Linked DNA regions of Cricetulus griseus. The protein of the gene in region 1 interacts with the protein of each later gene in a pairwise test. Links are inferred from orthologs where the notes say so. Each region holds a gene or a part of one and is shown on either strand. Other genes may lie near its edges. The genes, in order: Pex6 and Pex26.

Region 1 (11,914 bases):
TTCCTCTTACCCCGAGGCTCTGATCCTGGCACAGGCTACCCGGCTGGTATGGGTGAGCAGGGCATAAAGGTCCCCTACCACGAAGCCCTATGGATTTATACAAAAAGACACATGAGCATGGTGTAGCAGGCAGAGCCCATGGGGTCTGAACTCCAGCTGAGCAGAGGCTTTGGTTGTTTCCTGTCTCACAGGACACCACCTCATGCAGGACCAAAGTCCTATGTGTGACAATGAACCTATGACCTCCCAGAGTCAAGGCACCTGTGTAATACTCACTGCACAGCGCCGTGCCAGCTGCAACAGGTTCACCTCCTGGCCCAAGGGAAGGTGGGCAGTGAGGGCCTGCAGGACACTGAGCCGCTGTTCCTCAGACAGCACTGGCACCTCCAGCTCATGAGGAAACGCTGTATGCACATCGGTGGGCAGGTCCTGGGCACGGCTTGTGGTGGCCACCACCATCAGAGGAGGGCAACTGCAGACAGAGGAATGGGCACAGAGTGAGAACATGGCTGGCAGTTCTTGAGGTTGGTGTCAGGATTGGGCAGAGACAAGCGCCATCCAAAGCCCCAGCACAAGTTGTGGGAGCACCATTAAGTGGGGATCTGTGTGGACAGGGGGAGCTCACTGAGAACAAAGGCTTCAACCTAGTGTTTCCTGCAAAATGCTAGACTATACACCCTGCTTCCCCTGGAGACTCCTACAAATATCAGTGAGATTTCTGAGAAGCCAGCAGGGATGAGGAAATGAGGAATAAAGGGCTGAAAAGACTTAGGAGAGGCCGGGTGTTGGTGGCGCACGCCTTTAATCCCAGCACTCCGGAGGCAGAGGCAGGCGGATCTCTGTGAGTTCGAGACCAGCCTGGTCTCCAGAGCGAGTGCCAGGAGAGGCCTTCCCTTCCTCACTTGCTGACGGGGTCCTCATCAAGGAGGAGGTGACGCAGTGTGGCCACCACACGGGCATCCTCATCCAGCCCATCGCGGTCCCGACCCAGAAGGTCTATAGCTGTCAGCAACAGGACAGCAGGCCTGCAGCGGCGGGCCCGGGAGAAGGCTGCCTGCAGCTTTGTCTCCACAGCCCCACTGCTGTCTGCACAGAGGCTATAGCAGGGTACCTGTGAAGAGAGAAGGGGTTGGTCTGACCAGGCTAGAGAGGTGGGAGGAGTCAAAAGTGGATCATCTTCTCTGTGGAGGGCAGGGATGGGCGAAGGAGGAGCACTGGCCAGGTCTTAGCTTTTGTTCACCCTGTCCATTCCTGGGACTGTGAGGACCTGAGTAACTGAGCATTGTGGGCTGTGTGTTAGCCTGGACTAGTGGGCTCAAGGGCTGCTAGATGGTAATGAGAGAACACAAAGGAAGAGAGAGAAAGGCAGAATCTGGACTGAGGGGAAGTGGTTGGGGTTCTCACCTTCAGTAAATGGAGCCCAAGGCGACTACATGCAGCTGTGACTGCTGTGGTCTTCCCACTGCCTGGAGGGCCCTGAAGCAGCACACAGCTGGTTCCCGTGAGCAAGGTTCCTCTGCAATTAGAGAATATACAGTCTCCCACTTTCTGTCCAAATGTTAAGACCACAGTAACATAGGGACCCTTGGACCTCAAAAGCACTGTTTCTGCTTGTGCCTCCCTACCTGCCCCCCCATTCAGGCTGTCTGCACTCTGGCCCTGTCTCTCATGTTCAGGCAGAGGCACAGCAACTAGACACAGACACAGTGCTTCCAGGAAAGCCTAGCTTGATAGCTCTGGTCTGAAGAACAAAGGGAGGGGGTCTGGGTTTAGACTTGGGGCACTTCATCCTTGGGGGATGGAGAGATAAAGGCCAGGATGGATCATGGGTTTCCTAAGCAGAAAAGCAGACAGAGAGCCACCTGGGAGTCTGCTGGTGGCCTGGCCTAGGTGTTCTGGCTTGTGGGCCCCCACTCTGGGTAGACCACTGGGAGTTATTTTCCTGGACACTGCTCTGCAGGGATGCTCTGGGCAGGCCCTTCTCATGGCCTGGATTTACACCTCACTCACCCAGGCTGCAGGTGAGGCTTTAGGATAGCACAGAGCTCATTCACCAGGGCCTCCAGGCCTGGAGGAGACAAGCTGTCCCAGGGAGTGGACCTTCCTGAAGGCAGCAGTGGAACACGACTCAGGGCAGAACCTGCCTGCGAAAGGTAGGAGGGAGCCCATGGTTCTATAGTGCCCCTACCCCATTGCCAGGTCTCCTCCTGCCCAAGGCCTTACCATGTATAGAGAGGTGTGGGTGGTATCTGCCAGGAAGGCACTGGCTGGCCCATCTGGGGCTTCCCCAACTGCTTTCTTCACTTTAAAAAACACCTCCCGCCACCTGCAAGAAAGAGGGCCAAGGAACCCAAGACCTAGAGTCCACGTCTGCCCCTCTCCAAGAGCAGGTGGCTTTCTCACAAAGGACACACAGGCGCAGCATGGGTGGGTACCCTGAGGCTGACGTGATGGTGGGAGCTGGGGAGAGTAGAAATCAGCCGGTCCTATCTCTCTGACTGACTGACCATAACACATCCGAGGGCAGTTGCATCTGCCCTTCTGCACCTCCGTTACAACCATTAGATAGCCCCTGGAGGGCATTTCTACAGGCACATGTCCTAGCCACCCACTTCAAAAGGTAAAGCCACCATCATTAAGCACTGCAACCTATGGCCACTTCCTCTGGTTTCAGAACAGTCTCTCTCCAATACCTCTGCACCAGGGCCCCAGACCTCAGATAAAAGTCTCCCTGGTTTTTCATTCAGTAATCCAACAAATGCCATCTAACTCTAGTCCTGGGTAGGCTGTCAGGAAGGTCGTGAGGTAGACAGGCTATGCTGCAGTGAGATGAGTAATTCTCTATTCTGGAATTGTCTGTGAAGCTTTAGAAATAAATATTTTTCATGTTTTTGACAGGTTGAAAACTGCCAGAATCTGGGGGAAAGGGAAAATAGGGAATGATTACTAGTGGGTAGTGTCTTTTTGTGGTTAGAAAAGTTCAAGAATTAAAGATGTTTGCACAAAATTTTGTTAACTACAACAAAAAACAATTATACACTTGTTTATTTTGAAAGGGGTCTCTCTGTGTCTCCTAGAATGACCTCAAATTCATAACCTGAAGTGATCCTCTGTCTCAGTCTCTCAAGTAGGTGGAATGGTGGGTACATGCCACCATGACCATGAATTGTACACTTTAAAAGGGTAAGAAAGGGGCTGGAGAGATGGCTCAGTGGTTAAGAGCATTGGCTGTTCTTCTAGAGGTCCTGAGTTCAATTCCCAGCACCCACATGGTGGCTCAAAACCATCTATAATGGGATCTGATCCCCTCTTCTATCATGCAGATGTACAGGAAGACAGAATACTCATATAAATAAATCTAAAAAAAGGTAAAAAAGGGGGTAAGAGAGGCCTCAATGGTGGCATTTACCCTTAACCCCTGACTCTGGAGGCATAGGCAGGAGGATCTCTGAGACTCCAAGGCCAACCTTGTTTACATAGCAAGTTCCAGGACAGCAAGGACTACATAGAGAGACCCTGTCTCAAACTCCCCCACTCTCAAAAAGAGTGTAAGAAGCTAGGTTGTAGTCAAGGTCTTCCAGTCTCAGAATCATACCCCCCCCCACTCCACTGGGGCCAACCAGATAGCTCAGCAGGTGAAGGTATTTGCTACCAAGCCTGACTTCATGAGTTGGAACTCATGAGGTAGGAGAAAACTGACTCCTACAAGTTGTCTTCTGACCTCCATAAGCTCTTGAACACGGACAGACCACAGGCTCATTCATCGTGTTCTAGCCCAGTGTCTGGGTGTGTTAGGCATCTGTATTTTATGCAATCTGAAGGCTTAACCAGGCCTAAGCAGTCACACCCAGTGTCACCCACTGTGAATCAGAAGTACTTACTCTACTAATGGGGAGGAGGGTAAGTGCAGACAGCAGCTAGAAACTCAGTCTCCCAGACAGAGACTTCTCCCTTTAATTCTTAGGCGGTGAGATGCCAGGAACAACTGTACTCTAGGCCTCTCTAAGACCCTTCAGGATGCAATCCCCTTTACTCAAAATGTCATATAGTTAGTTACCAAGTTGCCTGCTCTGGCAGCAAAGGTGGTGGGAGTACTTCAAATGAGAGGAAGCTGAGTGTACAGCCTTGAACCTCTATCATGCCAGAAATCTTGTCCGTATATCCTGGATACAGTGCATAAGAAAGCAATGAGGGGGTGGCACTGTGGGGGGCTAGGAAGGGACGGCCTTCTTCAGCAGAAGGTAGTGCTCCACTTCATGAAGCAGAAAGGCCAGCCAGCTAGACTTTACCAGAGCACTACTGAGGATACATTGGTTGTGTTTCAAAACGCCAGGGATCAGGGGGCCACAGTGGGAGGCAGTGAGGCTGAGGACTCCCAGGTAGCACTGGTTGGTGAAGCAGAGCACAGGGGAGGCCGAGTGTGTCATCAATAGTGGAATTCCTTTCTAGGGAACCCAAGGAGCTCCTGGGTTTCCCTCATCCTGCCTCGGTGGCCTCAAGTCCTATACCTGCCCTTGAACTCAGCCCTGTTCATGAAGCTCTGTGCTCAGCACCTAGAAGACAGGCGGGTTTCTGGAGCTGGGTCAGCAGCAGTCCAGAGAATGATCTACCACCTGCTTTCCTTTGACAGTATCAAGTGTGGGTGGCTTCAGTTTTTCTACAGAAAACTAAGGCAGGGACTGTGAGCTTAGTTCAGTTGGTAGAATGCGTGCCTAGCCTAACCAGTGTCACCATGAATTAGAGGTATTTAAGCTACTCATCGTGAAGAGGGTGACCAGCCAGCGGCTAGCATGAAGCCCTGGGTCTGTTCGAGGCACCATGTGAAGTGTGTGTGTATACCTATAAATCTTAGGAGTCAGGAGGTAGAAACAGGAAGATTAGACGTTCAAGGCCGTCATTCACACATAGATTTTGAGGTTAGCCTGGGTTATATGAAGCCCTTTCCCAAAAAATCACCCAAGTTGGGCTGGAAAGATGGCTCAGAGGTTAAGAGCACTGGCTGCTCTTCCAGAGGTCCTGAGTTCAATTCCCAGCAACCACATGGTGGCTCACAACCATCTATAATGAGATCTGGTGCCCTCTTCTGGTGTACAGATATACATGGAAGCAGAATGTTGTATACATAATAAATAAAAATCTTAAAAAAAAAAAAAAAGCCCAAGTCAAGTTGGGCATGGTGGTGCATGCCTTTAATTCCAGAATTTGAGTGGTGGAGGCAGATGGGTATCTGTGATTTCCAAGCCAGCCAGAGATACATAATAAGACCCTGTCTCAAAACAAAACAACTAAGTCAGGCATGGTAATCCTAGCACTCAGGCTAGGCCTGGAGAACTGCTGCAAGTTCAAGGTCATTCTGGGTTACATAGTGAGTTTGAGATTACTCTGAGCTACAGAGTAAGACCCTGGCTCAAAAATACACCCCTGTTGGGCTGGAGAGTTGGCTGGGAGGTTAAGAGCACTGCCTGCTCTTCCAGAGGTCTTGAGTTCAGTTCCCAGCAACCACATGGTAGCTCACAACCATCTGTAATGAGATATGGTGCCCTTTTCTGGCTTTCATGGATACATGCAAACAGAACACTGTATACATAATAAATAAATCTTAAAAAAAAAAAAAAAACACCCCTGTGATGGCTGGGCAGTGGTGGCGCAAGCCTTTAATCCCAGCACCCAGAAGGCAAAGGCAGGTGAGTCTCTGTGAGTTCAAGGCCAGCCTGGTCTACAGTACAGGTTCCAAGGCAGTCAAAGCGACACAGATAAAATATGTCTCAAAAAACAAACAAGCAACCCCCCCCAACCACTAACAACACCGCACCACCACACACACACACACACACACACACACACACACACACACACACACACACACACACATCACTAGCTCTTTGGCACTGTTCAACACACAGAGGCAAGAGAGACTGCCAAGCACCAGCCTAGATGCCAGGCCCTGATGTGGACTAGGGTTACTACCACAGGAAGCACCAGGTGCCAATAAGGACGAAGCTCTGGATGTTGACAAAGGTGAGCCAGGCATTTCTTGCAGGGTGTCTAACTTGGCATAGGTCACAGGACGAGGCAGATAACCTGCAAATGATAGCTGTCAAAGTTGGGCTAGCCTCTCTATCAACCATGCTCCCTAATAAAATATGATGGGACCAGTCCTCCCTTAAAGCCCCTGGCACTTTTGAGGGTTTTCTTTGCCTTAGTAAATCTACCTAATTTAGGTTTTAAATAAACCTAAAAACAACAAAAGCAGGGAAGGGCAGCAAGATGGCTCATCAGGTAAAGGCACTTGCTGCCAAACCTAATAACTTAAGTTCTATTCCCAAACCCTGTAAGGTAGGTAAGATCCTTCTCCTCAGAGTAATCCTCTGACCCCCACATGTGCACTGTGGCACCCATGCGTGTGTTCAGACTCAGACTCAGACACACACCCACCCACACCCCCACCCCACAAGGCAAACATAAAAGAAGAAAAAAACCAAGAAATGGAAAACCAGTCTAGAAAAGACAGAGGACTACTGCCGAGGATACAATTACATTTTCTTTCCTTCACAGAAGGCCTGGCTGGCCTTGAACTCATGATCTTTCTACCTCTATCTCCCAAGTGTTACATGTACAGATGTACACCACCACCCCCAACTTGTATGTGCTGGGGATTGAACCAGGGCCTCAGTCAAGCCAGGCAAGCGCTCCACACTTAACTGCAGCTCCCGCTCTGTTAAAGTGTTTGTTCACTCAGTGTTGTGTGTCTGCACATGTGTGCTAGGAATCAAATACAGACCAGACCTCCTCACATGCTAGGCAAGTACTTTACCACTACTTATACCCCAACCCTGGGCAGTGATTCTTAATCTGTCTTTGGTTGTGTCCACTCAGGAACCAGAAAGTGCATTTCCTGTCTCCAGCAGTAACAAAATATCTTTTGGCACAAAACCATTACATACAACTTGGGAGGAGACTGTTGAACTGCACTCAGCTCATGACTCTAGACTGTAGATAAGGAGGCAGCTGCATACCTGGGCAGTTTCTCCGGGCTTCCTTCCAGAATCTCAACTTGCCCAACTGTTGGCACACACAGAACATCCCCTTCCTGGACCACCCTGCAACACATCAGTGGCTTCAGTCAGCTCACAGTGGGATTGTCAGGAGTGCGCCTGGCACATCTGGGCCTATTCAGCAATTTTCTAGGGAACAATTAGACTTAGATTGAGCTGGCGAAATGGTGGTGAGACTAGAAATGGGATCAAAGACCAGGGACAGAGAGCACCCCTGGCTCTTTTGGAATATTCTTTGACCAAACAGTCCCTTTTTCTTAGAATGTCCAAATTCACCTCATGGTCATTCCACAGCTCCCAGGCACAACACTGCCTATAATGCAGTTCTCTTAAGCCAGTAGCCCTGGGGTACCTGGGCCTGAGGCATGGGATGGGAGGAGAGGAGAGAGACAAGGAGAGGTGTTCTTTTCCTTAAGAGGCATAACAGCTAACCTGGGTGTATGAAAGTGCCGGTAAAGAACATGGTCATAATCTCCATTAGCGCTGTAGTGAGGTGAGGACACAATTTCAATGTGTAACTCTCTAGCAAACGGAGGCCCAGACATCAGTGAACAGCTTCCTCTGTCTTCAGGGATGATGGAGCCTTCCAAATACCTCTAATGGAGAGACAACCACCACCTTACAACCTCCAAGGAGACAGGTTTACCCTCTAGTGGCCAGTGTCTACATCTGCCTTCTGTCTTTACAGTATCAAGGCTAGCAGCCTGAGGGAGTCAAACTACATACACCCAAAGCTCTCCTAATGCGTACCAAAAAGCTGTCTGCAAAGGGGAATCTTTCTAGGCCTTTGAAAGACAACTCCATCTCCCCAGTGTTGGGATTACAGGCATGCACCACCGTGCCCTGCCCCTACACTCTTTGACTGACACCAGGCAGCTGCTGGAATTGACACTGAGTTTTGGCTGTGGGAAAAGGATATGGTTTTGTTGTCCCATTCTACAGCTCAGGCTGACAGTCAACTCAGCTTCTCAAGTTCTAAGTATATAGACAGGAGCCACCATAGCCTAACCAAAAGAAAAGGGCTGTTTCAACACACCAGTTGTCTTCAGTCAGAAGGAACCCCACATCTACTGTTACTCACATGGGGATGTCTTAGTGGACTTGTTTGGTTGATGTGGTTTGGGTGCTAGGAATGGATCCAGGGCTTCTCTGGGGCTGGTCCAGTGCTCTTCCACTGAGCCTAACCCTAGCCTCCCATCTCATAGTATTAACTGGTCTTTTACCTAACAAGTTTCCACACTGATGGGCAGGTTCTGTTTGTACATATGACCACTGGGTACCTGAGAGGAGTTAGATCAACTAAAAAACTGGTGTTGTTTTAGCTAGTTGATTAACTTTAAGTGGCTACTGGCTTCTTTTCAAGCCAGCACCAACCTAAGGCATACGCATATGCTTAGAAACCAAACAGTAGTGGCCCCCAAGCAAACTGTACTTTTAAAAGTAAAGGCAGAAACCAAAACACTTCAAGAATGTCTCTTAAATGTATTTAATAAGCTATTAAATACCAGGTACCAAAGATAACAAAGAGCCCTTTCAAGGAATTTACAATATATGATTGAGGACTAGACAGATTATGTAATCACGAGAAAGAATAAGTATTCTAACAAAGATTCAAAAGGCTATAGGGGGAGGAAATGATGTTAAAAGTTATGGTACTGAGATCATAAAACGATTTAAAGAGTTTTTATTTTTTATGTAGGCCTTGAAGTAAAGGATGGTAGAATTTTGTCAGATAAAGTTAGAACAGGAAGTCAATGAAAATCATAAGCCGAAGGTACCAAGACACCATTCTACTGTAGCAACCCAGTTACGGATTAGCGGGAGTACGAGTGTGCACATCTGGCACTTGACAGGGAACCTCACCTGTCACCTCAACACATGAAAGCTCTTCCCATGCACCTACGCTATGGAGACACGGTCTGATTGATAATAGAGAACCGGTAAACAAGGCTAAGAGACCGTAAGTGCAAAGTTCAGGCACAGGGGACCTACATTTTACAGCTAGCCTTCTAATTCAGTTAGACAGGTAAGAGGGCAGAAGGAAAAGGAAGCATTCCTGACCTGAATTCTGAGCTCTCCCACTTCCAGGGGATCACAGCCGAGATTAAAAGCCAAAGTAGCAGGCACAAACACCAGTCCGTCAGCGAGTGGTTCTCCCAGCTGTCCAGAGCTGGGTCCCAGTCTCTCGGACAGGTCCCAGCGAGGTTCTAGGAGCTGTACTTTAGCCAAATGCGGCTGGGATGTGTTTGGGAACTCTCCGACCCGGGCCACCCATACCCATTCGCCCTGGAAGAGCCCGAGACCCCGGAGACAGCTCCGGGTCACACCCAGTGCATCTCCAGTCCCTCCCAAGACCCCTTTAAGTTGCCGGACTGCGTGGGAAACGGCAAAGGAGGACGCCACGGGCGGGGGTGGGAGACGGCTGTGTTGCGTACTCTCAGGGCCCAGCTTGGCCCGCCCGCGGAGCTCGGTTACAGCCAGCCGCGTCCCTGGGCCCAGCAGCCCTTGCAAGGCCGGTCGCGTCTCCAGCACTCGCGAGCCGGGCACGGGCAGGCTCTCCCCGCGGCGCACCAGCAGCGGCCCGACTCGAGGCCCAGGCCCGGGCCCGGGAGCCGAGCCCAGCAGCGCCCAGCCCAGCGCCGGAGGCCGCCGCACAGGCCGCGCTCGCACTCGCGCCCCGGGACCTAGCGCCAGGAGCCGCAGCAACGCCCGGCTCACCAGCAGCTGCGGAGGTCCCGGCCCTCGCTGCCCGTTCTGGGAGCCCGGGCCCTCCAGGGCCGCAACGAGCAGCGCGGGCCCCGCAGGGCTTTCGCTTGCTGGCCGCAGCGCCAGCACTAGGCCCAGCCCTGTGGCAGGCCACGGGCCCCCGGGCGGCAACAGCACCGCCAACGGAGGCGTCTCAGCCGGGAAGGGGTCCAGGACGCGCAAGACAGCAAGCGCCATGGCCACTGAGAAAGCCAGCACCTCCACTTCCGGAACTAGCGACCGGAAAGCTCGCGGGCGCGAGAGGCGCTTCCGCTTCCGGCAGGAAAATGGGCGGGGCGCCGGGGGCAGAGTCCGCCCCTGGGGACGACGTACAGGGCTGGTTCCCCAGCTGCCGCCGTAATCGCCGACGCATGCGCCCTTTGGGTCTGCGTGCAGGAGCCTTTACCTTTGCTTTTCGGTAGGGGAAATCACGCCCTCTCGGTTATCGTGCCCCGTAACACGTACTCAATATCTGATTGATCAAGAGTGGCTGGTGTCAAAAGTGGAAGGAATCCACTTTTTTTTTTTCCTGAGGAAATCGTAGTTTGTCCCGCTCATCTGTAGGTTTGCGGTGAACCTTGTAAGAGGGAGTTGTAGGATCATAAAACTGTTCCAGACAGGCTTGTGTGTATGCAGTTATGTAGGGGCTGCTGACTGAATCGCTGCCTGTGATTCATGTAGCCCCGCAGTTGGTGCTGCCCCCGCAGCCCCACACAAAGCCCATGTTCCAGCGCCGCGGCTCCTAGGTGTTCACTCCCGCCAAACTCTCAGATTGAGCAGTTTAACCTCTTCCCTCAAACCCGTTGCTCTGCCCTACTAACCCTCGGAGACCCATTCTCAGTTTCTACCCCAGAGAAGGGAAAGGAAAGGGCTAGAGGCTTCTGTGATGGGAACTGAGCCAACAGCCTGTACTGTGACTTAGATTTCATCTTTGTCTGCGCTCTACTGCTCCATGACATTCAGGGATAAGTCACATTTCCAGTTCACAGTTACCGAGTTTTTGCTTCCTTACATTTAGTCAATATTTTGGATGGTGGCGATCGCCTTTTTCTGAATCTTGTATTTTCTTCCAGCGATTGTTGGCCTTTCTCCTTTTTATTGCAGTTGAGCTTCTTGAGATAGTCCTTCTGTTTTATGTAGTGTACACTCTTGAAAAATCTGAACGTCAGACATCTGAAAGTTGAATATTAGAATTCAATTACATGTATTAAGGTGTCTTTATCCCCAGAAAGATGAGAAAATATTTAAATTTCTGATTATAGTTCCTGGAATTACCTGGAACTGGGCTGGGGATGTAACTCAGGTGGCAGAGGGGCTTGTCTGGCAACGGTGAGGCCCTGGTTTTGAAACCAGGTGTGGTGATACACTCCTGTCTTCCTAGCATTTGATAGGTAGAAGCAACAGTTACATAGTGAATTTGAAGCCAGCCTAGGATACATGAGAACTTGCCTCAGATGGAATTGTCCATGTGAAAGACCCCCGAAGAGGTACTTTCGTAGAGGGAGACCCACACCCAGGAATCAGCGAGGCCACGAACTGGATGCAAAAAACAAGAGGCTTTATTGGAGACGCGGGTACCCGGGGCGACTTAGCTTCTGTGTGGCTAAGCGCGCCGAGCCAAGGGAAAGGGGTCCTTATATAGGGAAAAAGGCGCAAGCTAGGAGCAGGGATTCTATTGGATAATTCTAATGAGGCATTATACAGAGCTATTCCCATTGGTCAATGTATATGAGGCGCTATACAGGGTTATTCAAATGAGGTGAAACATAGAGTCTTTCAAATGAGGCGAAATACAGAATCATTTCTATTGGATGGTTCAAATGAGACACAGAGCCATTCCAGATCAGCATATTCTCAAGGTCTGGTGTCTGGTGTCTGGTACAGCAGACTCAATCCCCCCCCCCTTCCTGATGGCTGACCTTGGGGGCGGAGACCTTGGGACGGAGTGTTTCTCTTCGGGCGGGGGCTCAGGGGTAGGGCTCCAGGCCAGCTCACTTGGTGTTCGTGCCGACCCACCTGGTGCTCGCCCTCGTGCCGGCCCACCCGGTGCTCGCTCCCGTGCCGGCCCACCCGGTGCTTGTTCTCGGGCCGGCCCACCTGGTGTTTGTTCTCGG
Region 2 (12,550 bases), on another chromosome or scaffold:
GGGGATGGATGCACACCTGCAATTGCAGCATTTGGGAGGCTGAAACAAAAACATTAGAGGACACTCTGTACTGACAGCAAGACCGTTTGTTTGTTTGTTTGTTTAGGTGGAGAAGGGTGTTTCTCAAATAATGGCCCCCTAACTATGGCCCAGTGTCTGCACATCTGGGTGATCACTCCTCAGGAAACCACCAGGTGTGTTCCCAAGTCTCACTTGGAAAGCTCATCTCTATGTTACAGTGAAGGAGAAGAGACGAACCACCTTGAGGCCCAGCACATATCAGCAAGGGAGGGTTCTATAGCCATAAGATCACCAAGCTGTTTCCAGTTATTTTCCCATAATTCCCCGAGGCCCAGCACATACCAGCAGGGAGGGTTCTGTAACCAGATCATCAAGCTTTCCAGTTACTTTCCCACATCTTCTAAAATACATCAGAATTTCACTTACAATTCAAGGTCACACTAGCCAGGAGACACCTGATCAACAGACTCTATTTTAGGTGTTATCGATAAGGAAGGCGTCCTTATCTTGCATTCTGACTAGAGGTCATCCCTGGATGGAGCAGAGGCCTAGGTGACTCCATCAGCAGGGCGGGAAATGTTCTCCAACTGTTCTCCTAGGTTCCAGGCCTGGACTCTCCTGCCATGTGAAGTTGACTCTTATTTTTTATGGAAGAGGCTCAGAGAACAATGTCACAGAGGGTGGCTCTGTCTCAGGGGCACCTGCCCTCACAGGCCCTGCTGTAGGTGCCCTTCACTCACCTGGGTCAAACCGCAGAACCAGGAGACAGAGGATCAAGGCGGCCAGGAGGCTCTTTTTGAAGGGCTGAGAGAGGAGGTGGCTCGCCGCAGCGTCCCAAAGCCGGCGAAGCAACCTCAGCAGTGACATCAGCTTATGGGAGAAAGAACCTGACCAGGGGACAGAGCATTGCAGGGTGAGTCAGGCAGATCAGTTTCCCTGGCTCTGAGCCTTGAGCCAGATCTGAAGAGTCAATCAAAATACGATGAGAATGATTTCCTCGGCTCATGAAATAGTTCAAAAGAAAACTCAGAGAACTCTAAGAATGACATTGTTTGTTTGGAGGTTCAGTTCAGCTTCTGCCATGCTGGGAACAGATCCATGACCTTGCAGATACTTGGCAAGTATTCTACCACTCAGCTGCACCCACAGCCATCCAAAGATGTTCTAAGGACTGTATGAAGACACAGTCAGTGCACATGAGACCTGCTCAGCTGTGTAAGTGTGTGTCTGGGAACAGCCCCCTTATTTTACAGCATTTGTCAATCTTACAAACTGACATGAGTAAAATAACTCAGAGCCTTACTAGTGACACAGTAACACCTCGAAATGAAGGGCCTTTAATATATGCAGTAGAGAATTCAAGACTGGGATTGTGAATAAAATCATGATTACTAGTAGCCCAAAGACAAACAGGGCCAGTCCTGACAGAAGCCCCTGGACTTGCCACAGGGATTACGGTTGTGCTATTAAGTTTCATGTCACTTGGGAAGAGAGAACCTCTACTGAGACAATGCTCCCACCAGATTGCCCTGGGAGCAATCCTGGGGAGCATTTTCTTGATTAATTATTGATGTGTGTGAGCCTATCCCACAGGGGTAGGACACCCCTGGATGGTGGTCCTGGGTTCTGTAAGAAAGCAGGCTGTTAATTCCCCAAGGAAGGCCTTTACCCCCTCTGAGGAGTGGATAGAAGGTAGGAAGAAGGGGGAGAAGAGGGAATGGAAACAGATTGGTATGTAAAATGAAAAATAAATTAAGAAATGCCATAAATGAAACCAACTGCTTTGTAGTGTAACCTTAAAAAAACTAATAAAAAATAAAATAAACATAAAAAAAGCAGGCTGACCAAGCCAAGAGGATCAGGTCAGTAAGCAGCACCCCTCCCCACATGACTTCTACATCAGTTCCTGCCTCCAGGTTCCTGTCTTCAGTTCCTGCCCTGACTTCCTTTAATAATGGACTGTGACGGGGAAGTGTAAGATGAAATAAACCCTTTCCTCTTCAAATTGCTTTTGGTCATAGTGTTTTATCACAGCAATAGAAACCTAACTAAGGCAAAGGTAGAAGGCCTGGCAGCCACAGGCAACTCCTGAAACCAACAACCTGACAGCAAAGCAGGCCTAAGATCCCAGCAGGTCCACAGAGAAAAGTACTTTGGAGAACAGAGTTATAATTTCCTAATTAATGACAGGCTTTCATGTACATTTTAAAAAGAAGAAAATTTAACAATCCCTAAGCTGTCCAAAGACAGAAGATGTTAGAAGAAGGCATAAAGCCAATTGTCTTTCTAGTTCTACTCTGAAATGGATATTTTGCTTCTGATGGTGGCTAAGTACCGAAAAATATATTTAATGTGGAAGTATAAAATCCACTGTGAAACTCCACAGCTTCTGTTCCGAATGGCTATTCAAACTGTATAGAAGATCATTGAATTGTATAGTCTTTCAGTCTCATTAATTTTGGTGTGTGTTTTATTTTGTTGTTGTTTTGTTTTAATCTACAATCACTTTTTTCATATCCAAATTTTTATTTAGTTTATTTATGCCACCACACAATAAAGTGATATCACAGCAAATAAAAGGGATACAATCTTTTCTATAATAAAGTTTACACACACACATTATGTGTTCAGTTCCTGGCATCCACATTCTGGGGTTCACAACTGCCTGTAACTCCAGCCCCAGGGGGATCTCTAGCCTCCATGGGTACCTGCATTCACACACCCACATCCATACACAGACATATACATAGGCATAATTTAAAATAATAAAAAATAAATCTTTAAAAATGGACAGAAAGCACTGCTCCAAGAGACAGGTAATGTTCTAACCTCGGAAGTGTTCACACACAGGCTGAAGGAAAGGGACTGAAAAGACTGAGGTGCAGTGATGGTTTGGGGCCAGGGGCCTTTAGGTTCCTGCAACAGAACAACCCACTCCCAGCTCCGTGCCACTGCCTTGTGAGGATGCTACCAGAAGACACTGGGTAGCACAACTGCATGTAAATGAACACGGCAGACCTCAGCTAAAAACACAAACACTCAAAGCTCTGGTTAAGTGAAGGCAGATAGGAGACGGTGCATAAAGACCCAAAGCTGAAGGAGGTCATTTTTATTTCATGAGTTAATGAGTTAAGCTGTGTGTCTAATAGGGCCAGCATTTAAAGGAGGCGTAACAGCTCCCAGACCAGTATGATAGAAGCAAAAAAACTAGAAAGGATCCCAAGGAAATGACCAATCAGATTCCAAAGGAAGGTGACGTCTCTTTCTTTTTTGTTTTGTTTTTTCAAGACAGGATTTCTCTGTGTAGCTCTGGCTGTCATAGAACTCACTCCATAGACCAGGCTGTCCTTGAACTCATAGAGATCCACCTTCCTCTGCCTCCCAGGTGCTGGGGTTAAAGTTGTACACTACCACAATCAGCCTTTAGTCCCCAAAACTGGGAGACAAATCAGGGTCAGGGGACTCAACACCTCCCCAATTTCGGAGGATCTAGCTTGGTTTGTAATATGACACAGTGACTTAAATCTTCAAGTTCCTAAACTTGGTACAGGGGATGCCATGGGACCCCTTTGCAGAGGCCATAGAGCCCTGATGTCCTACCTTCCTGGCTCATCTGCTGCTGCTCCTGAGAACTCAAATGCTCCCGTGTGTGCTGTTGCCTTGCTGTGCAGATGGCCTGGAGCACTGCTTCCCGCTGCTCTTCGCTGAAAGCTGCAGAGCCCACTGCCAGCCCCTCAGCCTCTGACAAGCGGCCCAAGGGTAGCAGCACCCGGAGCAGGTGGAGTTCTGCCAGTGATCCATACTCAGGAAGGCCCTGGTTGTCTGGGTCTTGGAGCCAGGCATCAGCCATAGCCAGCACAGCTCTTGGCTCTCGCATTTTGCTGTATAAAAGGATGCTGTGTCCCCAAACAATCCCCAAAAGAAAAGAATCAGTACTCTACAGCTGGCTCATTCTCAAAACCACAAAGTTCTGTAATCCCACCCTCCCAGGTCCTCCAGCCCTTCCCTGGGGATACGGACACTGTTAAGAATTAAAAACTGGAAGGTTGGAGAGATAGTGATTAGTAGTGCGTACTTCTCTCACAGAGGACTGGAGTTTGATTCACAACACTCATATTGAACAGTTTACAATCACCTGTAACTCCAGCTCTGGGATATCTGAGACAATTTCCTGGCCTCCAAGGGCACTGGCACTCATGTGTACACATGTGCTCGTACTCACACACACACACTCTCACACACACACAAATTTTCTAGATAATAACAATAATTTTAAGAATTAGAGATTGTGCTTGGTGGTGGTGGTACATGCCTTTAATCCCATCACTCCGGAGACAGAGGCAGGTGGATCTCTGTGAGTTCGAGGCCAGCCTGGTCTACAAAATTAGTTCTAGGACAGCCAAGGCTATTACACAGGAAAAAAAAATGGATACTGAGGACTTGAGAGATGCCTCAGAGGTTAAGAGCACTGGCTGTTCCTCCAAAGGACCCAGGTTCAATTCTCAGCACCCACATGGAGTCTTACAACTGTTTATAACTGAAGTTCCAGGGAATTCAACACCCTTCTCTGGCATCTGTGGGCATCAGGCACGCATGTAGTGCATACATGCAATGCATGTAATACATTCAGGCAAAACACCCATACACATAATAAAGCAAAAAGTAAAATACTTTTTAAAGAGCATTATCTGTACAATCCTGAGGATCAGAATTGGGGAGGGGAGGCTGGCACCCACGTAACAAGCCTAATGTGGTTCTACCCACATCTGTAATTCCAGCATTGAGGGGGGAAGAGACAGGAGGATCACTGGGTCTTGCTGGCTAATAACCTAGCCAAGAAAGAAGGTGAGCTTCAGCTTCAGAAAGAGGCCCTGCCTCAGAGGAATAAAGCAGAGAATGATGGAGGACTCCAAATACCCTTCTCTAATCTCCATGCACGCACGCACGCAGGCACTCAGGCACGCAGGCACGCGAACACACACACACACACACACACACACACACACACACACACACACACACACACAAATACACACCAAAATGGGGGGGGATCTCCGGGAGGCAGCAGGATGCTTGATTGGCCCTGTCCCCTCATTAGACTGCTTCACTATTACCAGTGTGTGCTCTCTTTTCTTGTACCCTACTCCCAAACACGGCTTCCTCATCCTTAGCTGCTGTGGTCTGAGGTCTGAACAAAGTGGGGAGACCTGAACTTGAAGGAAACTGACGAGAAGGAGGATGAAGGAGTCATGAGACCCTGACTCAAGAAGGGACTTGTGTTCCTACACTGGCCCAATGTCAGCACGAGGAACTTACCATAGCTCCAGGACTTTGGGAGGAAGCTTTTCAGGAACCTGATAATACTGGAGGACCCAGGACAGGACTTCTCTCCACCGATTCATTTCTGCCAGAGCCTGGATCCCCACGACACACAGGGAGCACTTCACCTCCACAACACTGTCAGCGGAAAGACACGAGTCAGGGTTACAAGTGCTTCCCCTCTCTCCATTCCCCTCTTCCACTCAGACAGGCATCCAGCTTCCACTCGGAGGCTACCACCCAGTCAGAACTGAATGAGCCGGAAGGTAATCTTGGAAATGGCATGCAGCCACCAGGTGTGTTGACGGAGAGTGGGCAGCAAGAATTTGCTTAGTGACAGGTGGGCTTGGAGAGGTGTCTGGCCAGGTGTTTCTATAGAAACTCAACTGGCCTCTAAGAATTAGCTATGTCCAGATGCTCAGAAGCAAAGCCCTCAACATTCGATGTGCAACCTCTGCCCCCCTAAAACCACAGCCAATTTCTCCAGGTTTTATTTCTCTGCTATCAAATTGGACTATTCATTCTGCCTACTCCTCCTTAGTATGTTCATATAGCCCTAAGGAAGGTAACGCTCCACAGAGCAATGGTGCCCCCAGCTGCCAGAGGAGGTCTATGCATTAGAATGAGCAACCCGGGGGCAAAGATTTCCTAAAAGTAATTCATCCAACCCTTCAACCGGACCAGACCACTCTGCCTTGACCCCATGTCCATGATCTGACAAAACCAGGAGTGAATAAGGGGTGGGTCCCCAAAGGAGGCCTCCTGCTCCCTGACAACTGAACCCCTCACAACTGAACACTTAATTGACATCCACCCTGTCCTCCTGCACTGAAAGAGTGAGCGAAGAACTGGCTGTGGCTATCCCCCAAACTGTTCATGATTTGACTTCTTTATTGTACGTGACCCTTTCTTCCTCAGGAGCACGGGTGCAGAATGAGCAACCAGCCTCTCCCAGAGAGGATCCCCTAGTGAAAGCAAGGTGTCAGGTTGGTGCAATCTGGCAATGCCAGAAAGTCCTCCCCAAAAGGATCAGAAAGGAAGGCAGCCCAGCACATACGTGCCACTTGTGGGCTCCTCGGCCAAGCTCTGCCAAGCCCGTTCGCAAGTCTCTAATGCGGCGTGGAAGTCCAGATGCACCACTAACAGGTCGGCCGCCTCCTCCAGCAGGTACACCGCGGGTGGCACAGCCGGAAGGGCACGCGCAGGCTCGCTGCTCCGCAAAGGGCCCACGAGCCCTTTCATGAGGGCTGCAGAAGTCGAGGCGTCGTTCTTCATAGCCAGCCTTGGCTCGGCCGGGTCTCCTCACACGTCAGGAGCCTGCTAGAAATCCGGAATGGGCCCGACAGATGACCGGCAGGCGTTGTGCTCCACGCCTCTCCAGGTCAGATCCTAGGAAAGGACCATGAAGATGCTGGACCCGAGGCACAGCCCGCGCTCACCGACAGCCTAACTCTGGCGGGACTGGCCTGCATATACGTCGTGATGCTGCCGAACGCCAGGCACTTGCTCCTCCCACACCCCAGACAAGCGCTGGAAGCACCCGAGCTCCCAGAGTCGCAAGCTCGCCCTACTCTAACTACCCACAAGAGCTTGACAACTCCGCCTCCGCCCCGCCACTACGGCGCACGCGCGCGCCCTGGAGCGCGGGACTCTGGGAGTTGTAGTCCTGGCCTCTTGTCTCTGCGACGCTTAGGGGAGCGTTCCCACTACAACCTCAAACCTCTGGCACCCGGAGACTGTCATCCTCCAGAGAACGCACCAGCTCACCAGCTTTGGGTTGGAAAAGGTGGGGCAGCTAAACCATTAGTAAAATCGCCTGTGTCCTGTGAAATACGATCCTTCTCTCACGAACCGGAAGAGGCCCAGTAAGGAGGTGGAGCTACCTGCACCTTTATTCTGAACTTCCGAAGGGGTGCGTTGACAGGGAGCGTAGGACAATGAAACACCGAACTAGCTATTTCCCCTTCCTGGGTTCTTTACTTTTAAAGTGTGGCACAGTGCAACGTGCTTTCCGTGCATTCTTAGTTATTTCATCATCTCTATGAGTTATTACTCTATTTTACAGTCGAGGTAGGTCACAAAAACACTGTCAAACCAAAGAAGCACTTTTTGACTGAAAGGAATGTCGGGGTGGAGATATAACTGATCTACGCTTTGCACTCAGTAGATTAACCAACAACACACAAGTGAGTTACATAAGCTCCTGGGACCTGCATTGTTTACATAAAATAAAGATATCATAAAAGCAAAGCCATGCAGGTGTAATGCAATTGTTCAGTACAGTACTGAGACCAAAGTAAGAAATGCTAAGTTGCAGCTATTACATATGGTTTGTTTGTTTGTTTGTTTGTTTGTCTTTTGAGATAGGGTTTCTCTGTGTAGTCCCGGCTTTCCTGGAACTCACTTTGTAGACCATGATGGCCCCGAACTCAGGGATCAGACTGCTACCACTTGCTATTATACACTAGCTTGCTGTTACATAATTTTACACAGACACATAAATCAATCATTATCTGTGTGCTTCAGGCAGGGTTTCCTAACTCCTCTACATGTATTCTTGTTTTACTTTTGCCCAGTTCTCTAGCCTCTGAACTCTCTCCCAAGCTTTCCTAGAACCATTTGCTCCCGTAGTGACTGGATATGACAGCTAGGCACCAGGCCAGGACCTGCTCACCTCATACATGTCTTATTGCTTACAACAGCCTGTAAGTCTCTACAGAAAGTCCTCAGGCCGCTGAGACAGAAATGTCAAGTCTGTCAGACGCTGGTACTGTGACTGTGTAAGGTGAAAAGGTGCCACTCATTTAAAATACTGCTTAATTTGTTTTTCCCCTAAGGACTGGAGAGATAGATAGCTCAGTGGTTAAGAGCACTTGTCCTCATGGAAGACCTAGGTTCAGTTCCCGGCACCCACAGAGCCACTCACGACCATCTGTCCTCTAGTTCCAGAGGATTCAATGCCTTTTTCTGACTTCCTGGGGCACCAGGAATGCACATGGTGCTCATACATACATGCAGGCAAAACACTCACACACATAAAATAAGATAAATAAATCTAAAATATTTTTTTAATTTTTCTACATTTTTTGTGTGCCTCCAGGTAGCCACAGCACAAGTGTAGATAGAGGTAAAAGGACAGCCTGCAGGAGTCCGTTTTCTCCTTCTTCTATTTGTGTCTTGGAGATCAACCTCAGGTCACCAGGCTTGGGGGTAAGCTCCTTTACTCGCTAAGCCGTCTCACTGGCCTTACACTGTGTGGCAGACACTGGGGGTCCCATAGAAATCAAGGACAGAGCCTTCAGGAGCTTGGATCATAACGGAAGGAAACAAACAACGAAAATAAACAAGAGCTTATTAATAAACAAATGTACATGCCTGTAGACCCAGTTACTTCTGCAGTTGATATGGAGAGATTATTTTGAGGCCAGGAACTGGAGAGCAGTCTGGGCAACACAGCAAGAACCCCATTTCTAAATATATATGTACATGAGTACATACATACATTCAAGCAAGTAAAATAGAGTCAATGGTGTTGTCAGATGATAAAGACTAAGGAGAAAGAGAAGGGAGATGGGGGCAACCATGGAGAGGCCAGCACAATAGATGCGTTTGCCTCTGTTTTCTAACAGCAAGTCCAGAGACAGGGGCACAACACACAGAAAATATGGCCTTTTTGCACTGCACTGGTCCTTGTTATTGGGGGTCAGTGTTTGGAACCAACATATTCTCTGTGTCATTGTGAGGAGACCTCCTTCATCAACAGACAGCATTTACCCCCCTGAAGCAAACACTAAAACAAAGCAGAGATACTTAGCATGTGGGTTGCAGGGACTGAGACTGCCAAAATATTCTGTCAGCTCTGCCTCCAATGGAACATTAAATGGTTAAGATCATTAGTAATAACATAATTATGGGGTTGCAAAACATAACAGCTCATCTGTTTCTCAAACTAAATTGTTGGTTTTTTTTTTTAATTTAATGTGGATGGGTGTTTTGCTGCATTATGTCTGTGTATCACACGCATGCCTGGTGCCTGCGGAGACCAGAAGAGGGTGTTATATTGGATCCCCCAATCTATGGAGTTACAGATGTTTGTGAATCACCATCTGGGTGTTGAAACTTAAACCTGGGTCCTGTGGAAGAGCAGTAAGTGCTATTAACCTCTGAGCCTTCTCTCTAGACCCTTAAACTGAGTTTAAAAGTATACTCTGAAAACTCAGAAGAGCAGAAATTGGGAGGTGGCTCAGCTGGTGACTCGATCAGTTGCAAATATAAGGACCTGATCTTGGATTCTCAACAGCCGTATTAAAAAACAAACAAACAAAACCAAAACAAAACAAAAAACCAGGTGCAGTGGCAGACACCTGTAATCCAGGCATCTGAAGTGGAAACAGGAAAATCTCTGGGACTTATTAGCTACCCAAGATAGCCAAATCAATGAGCTCCAGGTTCGGTGAGAGACCCAACCTCTGAAAGATACGTTGAAGAGCAATAGAGGAAGATGCCCAATGTCAACCTCTGGCCTAAGAGGCCAGAACAGTCAGAACTGAGAGAGCAGCAAAAAATAGAACACAAATTTTGTTTTGTTTTGTTTTTTGCTTTTTGAGAGAGGGTTTCTCTGTGTAGTAGTCCTGGCTGCCCTGGAACTCACTTTGTAAGACCAGGCTGGCCTCAAACTCACAGAGATCCACCTGCCTCTGCCTCCTGAGTGCTGGGATTAAAGGTGTGTGCCACCACTGCCTGGCAAAAAAATGAATTGAAGAAGAAAGAAGAAAGAAGAAGAAGAAGAAGAAGAAGAAGAAGAAGAAGAAGAAGAAGAAGAAGAAGAACAAGAACAACAAGAAGAAGAACAAGAACAAGAACAAGAACAAGAACAAGAACAAGAAGGACATAGGCAAACTGAAGCTGCCACCAAATAGAGTCACCACTGTGTGATTGAGGCCAGGAAATGTTTTTCTTACCACCTAACAAATTTCTCACTATTCCAGGTTTGTCCAGCAGATGGCAGAATAGCCTTAAAAAATCTTTCTTACCAGACAAATTTCTCTAATGGTACAATAACCAGAATGAGGTCAAGATATTTAAAGCAGGAGTGGGATGTGCTAAACTCATATAAAAATAAAATAGTGTCAGTGTGTGCTAAATGCATTTGTTAAAACATCACAATGAAACCCATTATTTTGTACAGTTAATACACAATAAATGTTAATAAAAATAAGCTTGTGCTTCATTTATTTGTTTCACTTGATCTTCAGCTGTACATTTGGGGCTTCACAGTGGTCTCAATGTTAGCACCTAACCTTTGGCAAACTGACTCCCCAACACACTACTGCAGTGACCCACTGTCCTCTTTTTTGGAGATTTCTTCCTAACCCAGGGCCCTTGATGCAGGATGTTTGGAAAGTACCTACCTTCCTTTCATTGACTCATCCATGAAATACCAGGAATAGAAATAAGTACAGTTCTCCCAGTCAACAAGGCCTGGCCCGAGTTAGTATCTGTATTGGTGGGATTATCTCACTGGGGGGGAGGGGACCAGCAGAGTGAATGAGACACATGTCTCCTCATCTTATCCCAGCTCCTAGTGCCTGTCTGTGATGTGGTGCTCTTTCTTCTATGTGACACCCTCAGGACTCAGCTCTTCACATGCAGGTGTCTACAGGATGGTACCCTGCTGTGAAAGAAGAAGAGTGAAACACAGGTTACATTCTTGGTTCTGTTTGCGACAAAGCTGCCTGACCTCCATGTACCTATCCAACTTCCCTGTGCTTCAGTCTTCTCTAAGGATGTGGGCACTAGCATGTACCAGCTGTGAGCATCGGGAGATTGGGATAACCCACTGAGCCTGCAAAGCTGTGGCATCCTTCAGGCTAATGAAGCTGTCACATATTCAGACTCAAATAAGGAACAGAAAGTATTCTTCACCTCCAGATTCTGGAATCTTTGTGATCTTACTTTTAGGAACAAGCTGTCCTTGAGTTTGCTATATAGCAAAGGATGACCTTGAACTTCTCTTGAGTGCTGGGATTACAGGATATGTCACCACACCTAGTTTGTATGGTAGTGGAGATTGGACTCAGGGCTTCGTACATATTAGGAAAGCCGTCGGTGCACCGAGACACATCCTCAGCTTGGAGTCTGACTCTAGCTAGACACTTCTGTGCAAAGTCAGAAATGTTCACATCTCTCTCAGCCTGGCCCGTCATTCTAAGCCTCCTCAGCTGCTCTCTCAAACAGATTCCAGCCAACCATTGGTCCTCAGTAGAGGCTATCTGTACCAATGCTCCATAGGCAATAGATTCCACTGTGCGTGGACCTTTGGCCTAGTGAAAGCCAAAGAGGTAAGTAAGGGCAGGGTGCAGAGAAGGCTTTCCCAAGACTTCAAGGGTGTGCCCTCCTACTCTAGACCTTCAGGCTTTTATGCGGCTCTTTGATAAAACTGAGTCTCAAGGCACAGAAGAGAACGTGGTGCTCCTGTTTTCTCCTCCCCATTTAGTGCAGTGGGAATTCAACTTCTGTGCCTAGAGAGTGATCACCATAGTTGTAATCCTCCTGCAGAGGACATCGACATAATGATGTCTCAGTTGACACAGCATGGCACTAACTCTATGCTGGGTGCTCTTCAGACTGCTGGAGGCATAACTCATCTTAATGATCAACATTATGACATGAGCATTCGGGCCCCAGAGTCTCCTTCTTACTGAGGATCTAACATCGGCTCTTCAAAACCCCTGATGCTTGTCTTATTTGCACCTGGCTACAGCCATGTAAGGCAAACAACATTGTTACTGAATGAAGGGAAAGGATGCCCTTGTATTTTAATTTTAAAATGCCATTGTTATTGCTGTTGTCCCTACATATTGTTTCTGCTAAAGCTTAGGCTGCCTAAACTCCAAATCCTTGTCTTTAATGACAAAGCTCCAACTTAACAAGTTTCCCAGCATTCCCTTGGCTATTCTGTATCCAATACCAATAAAACAACAACAAAAAAAAAACCTATTAATTAAAGGTCACAAACCTTTAATCTGAGGACTCAGGAAGCAGAGACAGGTAGATCTCTAAATTTGAGGCCAGTTGGGTCTACATAGTAAATTCTGGGTCATCCAGGGTTACATAATGAGACTGTCTCCCCCCAAAAAAACCATTTATAATTCTTTTCATCCACCTTGAAGATACCTGAGGTGCTCATCAGGGAGCCCTCCTCAGGAGA

Evidence for each region.
Region 2: the proteins of Pex6 (region 1) and Pex26 come close enough for resonance energy transfer, tested with the Homo sapiens proteins (2 studies listed by BioGRID). The link is inferred for Cricetulus griseus from reciprocal best matches to the Homo sapiens genes PEX6 and PEX26.

Annotation. Positions count from the first base shown.
Region 1 is NW_023276806.1:256,128,892-256,140,805, reverse strand, and holds the start of Pex6 (peroxisome biogenesis factor 6), read right to left. Parts: upstream 10,041-11,914; 5' UTR 9,999-10,040; coding exon 9,117-9,998; intron 7,652-9,116; coding exon 7,488-7,651; intron 7,101-7,487; coding exon 7,017-7,100; intron 6,082-7,016; coding exon 5,968-6,081; intron 2,327-5,967; coding exon 2,224-2,326; intron 2,145-2,223; coding exon 2,011-2,144; intron 1,517-2,010; coding exon 1,405-1,516; intron 1,112-1,404; coding exon 903-1,111; intron 473-902; coding exon 277-472; intron 88-276; coding exon 11-87; intron 1-10. UniProt on the Homo sapiens protein: Component of the PEX1-PEX6 AAA ATPase complex, a protein dislocase complex that mediates the ATP-dependent extraction of the PEX5 receptor from peroxisomal membranes, an essential step for PEX5 recycling.
Region 2 is NC_048601.1:23,704,804-23,717,353, forward strand, and holds the start of Pex26 (peroxisome assembly protein 26), read right to left. Parts: upstream 6,946-12,550; 5' UTR 6,616-6,945; coding exon 6,398-6,615; intron 5,479-6,397; coding exon 5,338-5,478; intron 3,918-5,337; coding exon 3,622-3,917; intron 909-3,621; coding exon 762-908; intron 1-761. UniProt on the Homo sapiens protein: Peroxisomal docking factor that anchors PEX1 and PEX6 to peroxisome membranes. PEX26 is therefore required for the formation of the PEX1-PEX6 AAA ATPase complex, a complex that mediates the extraction of the PEX5 receptor from peroxisomal membrane.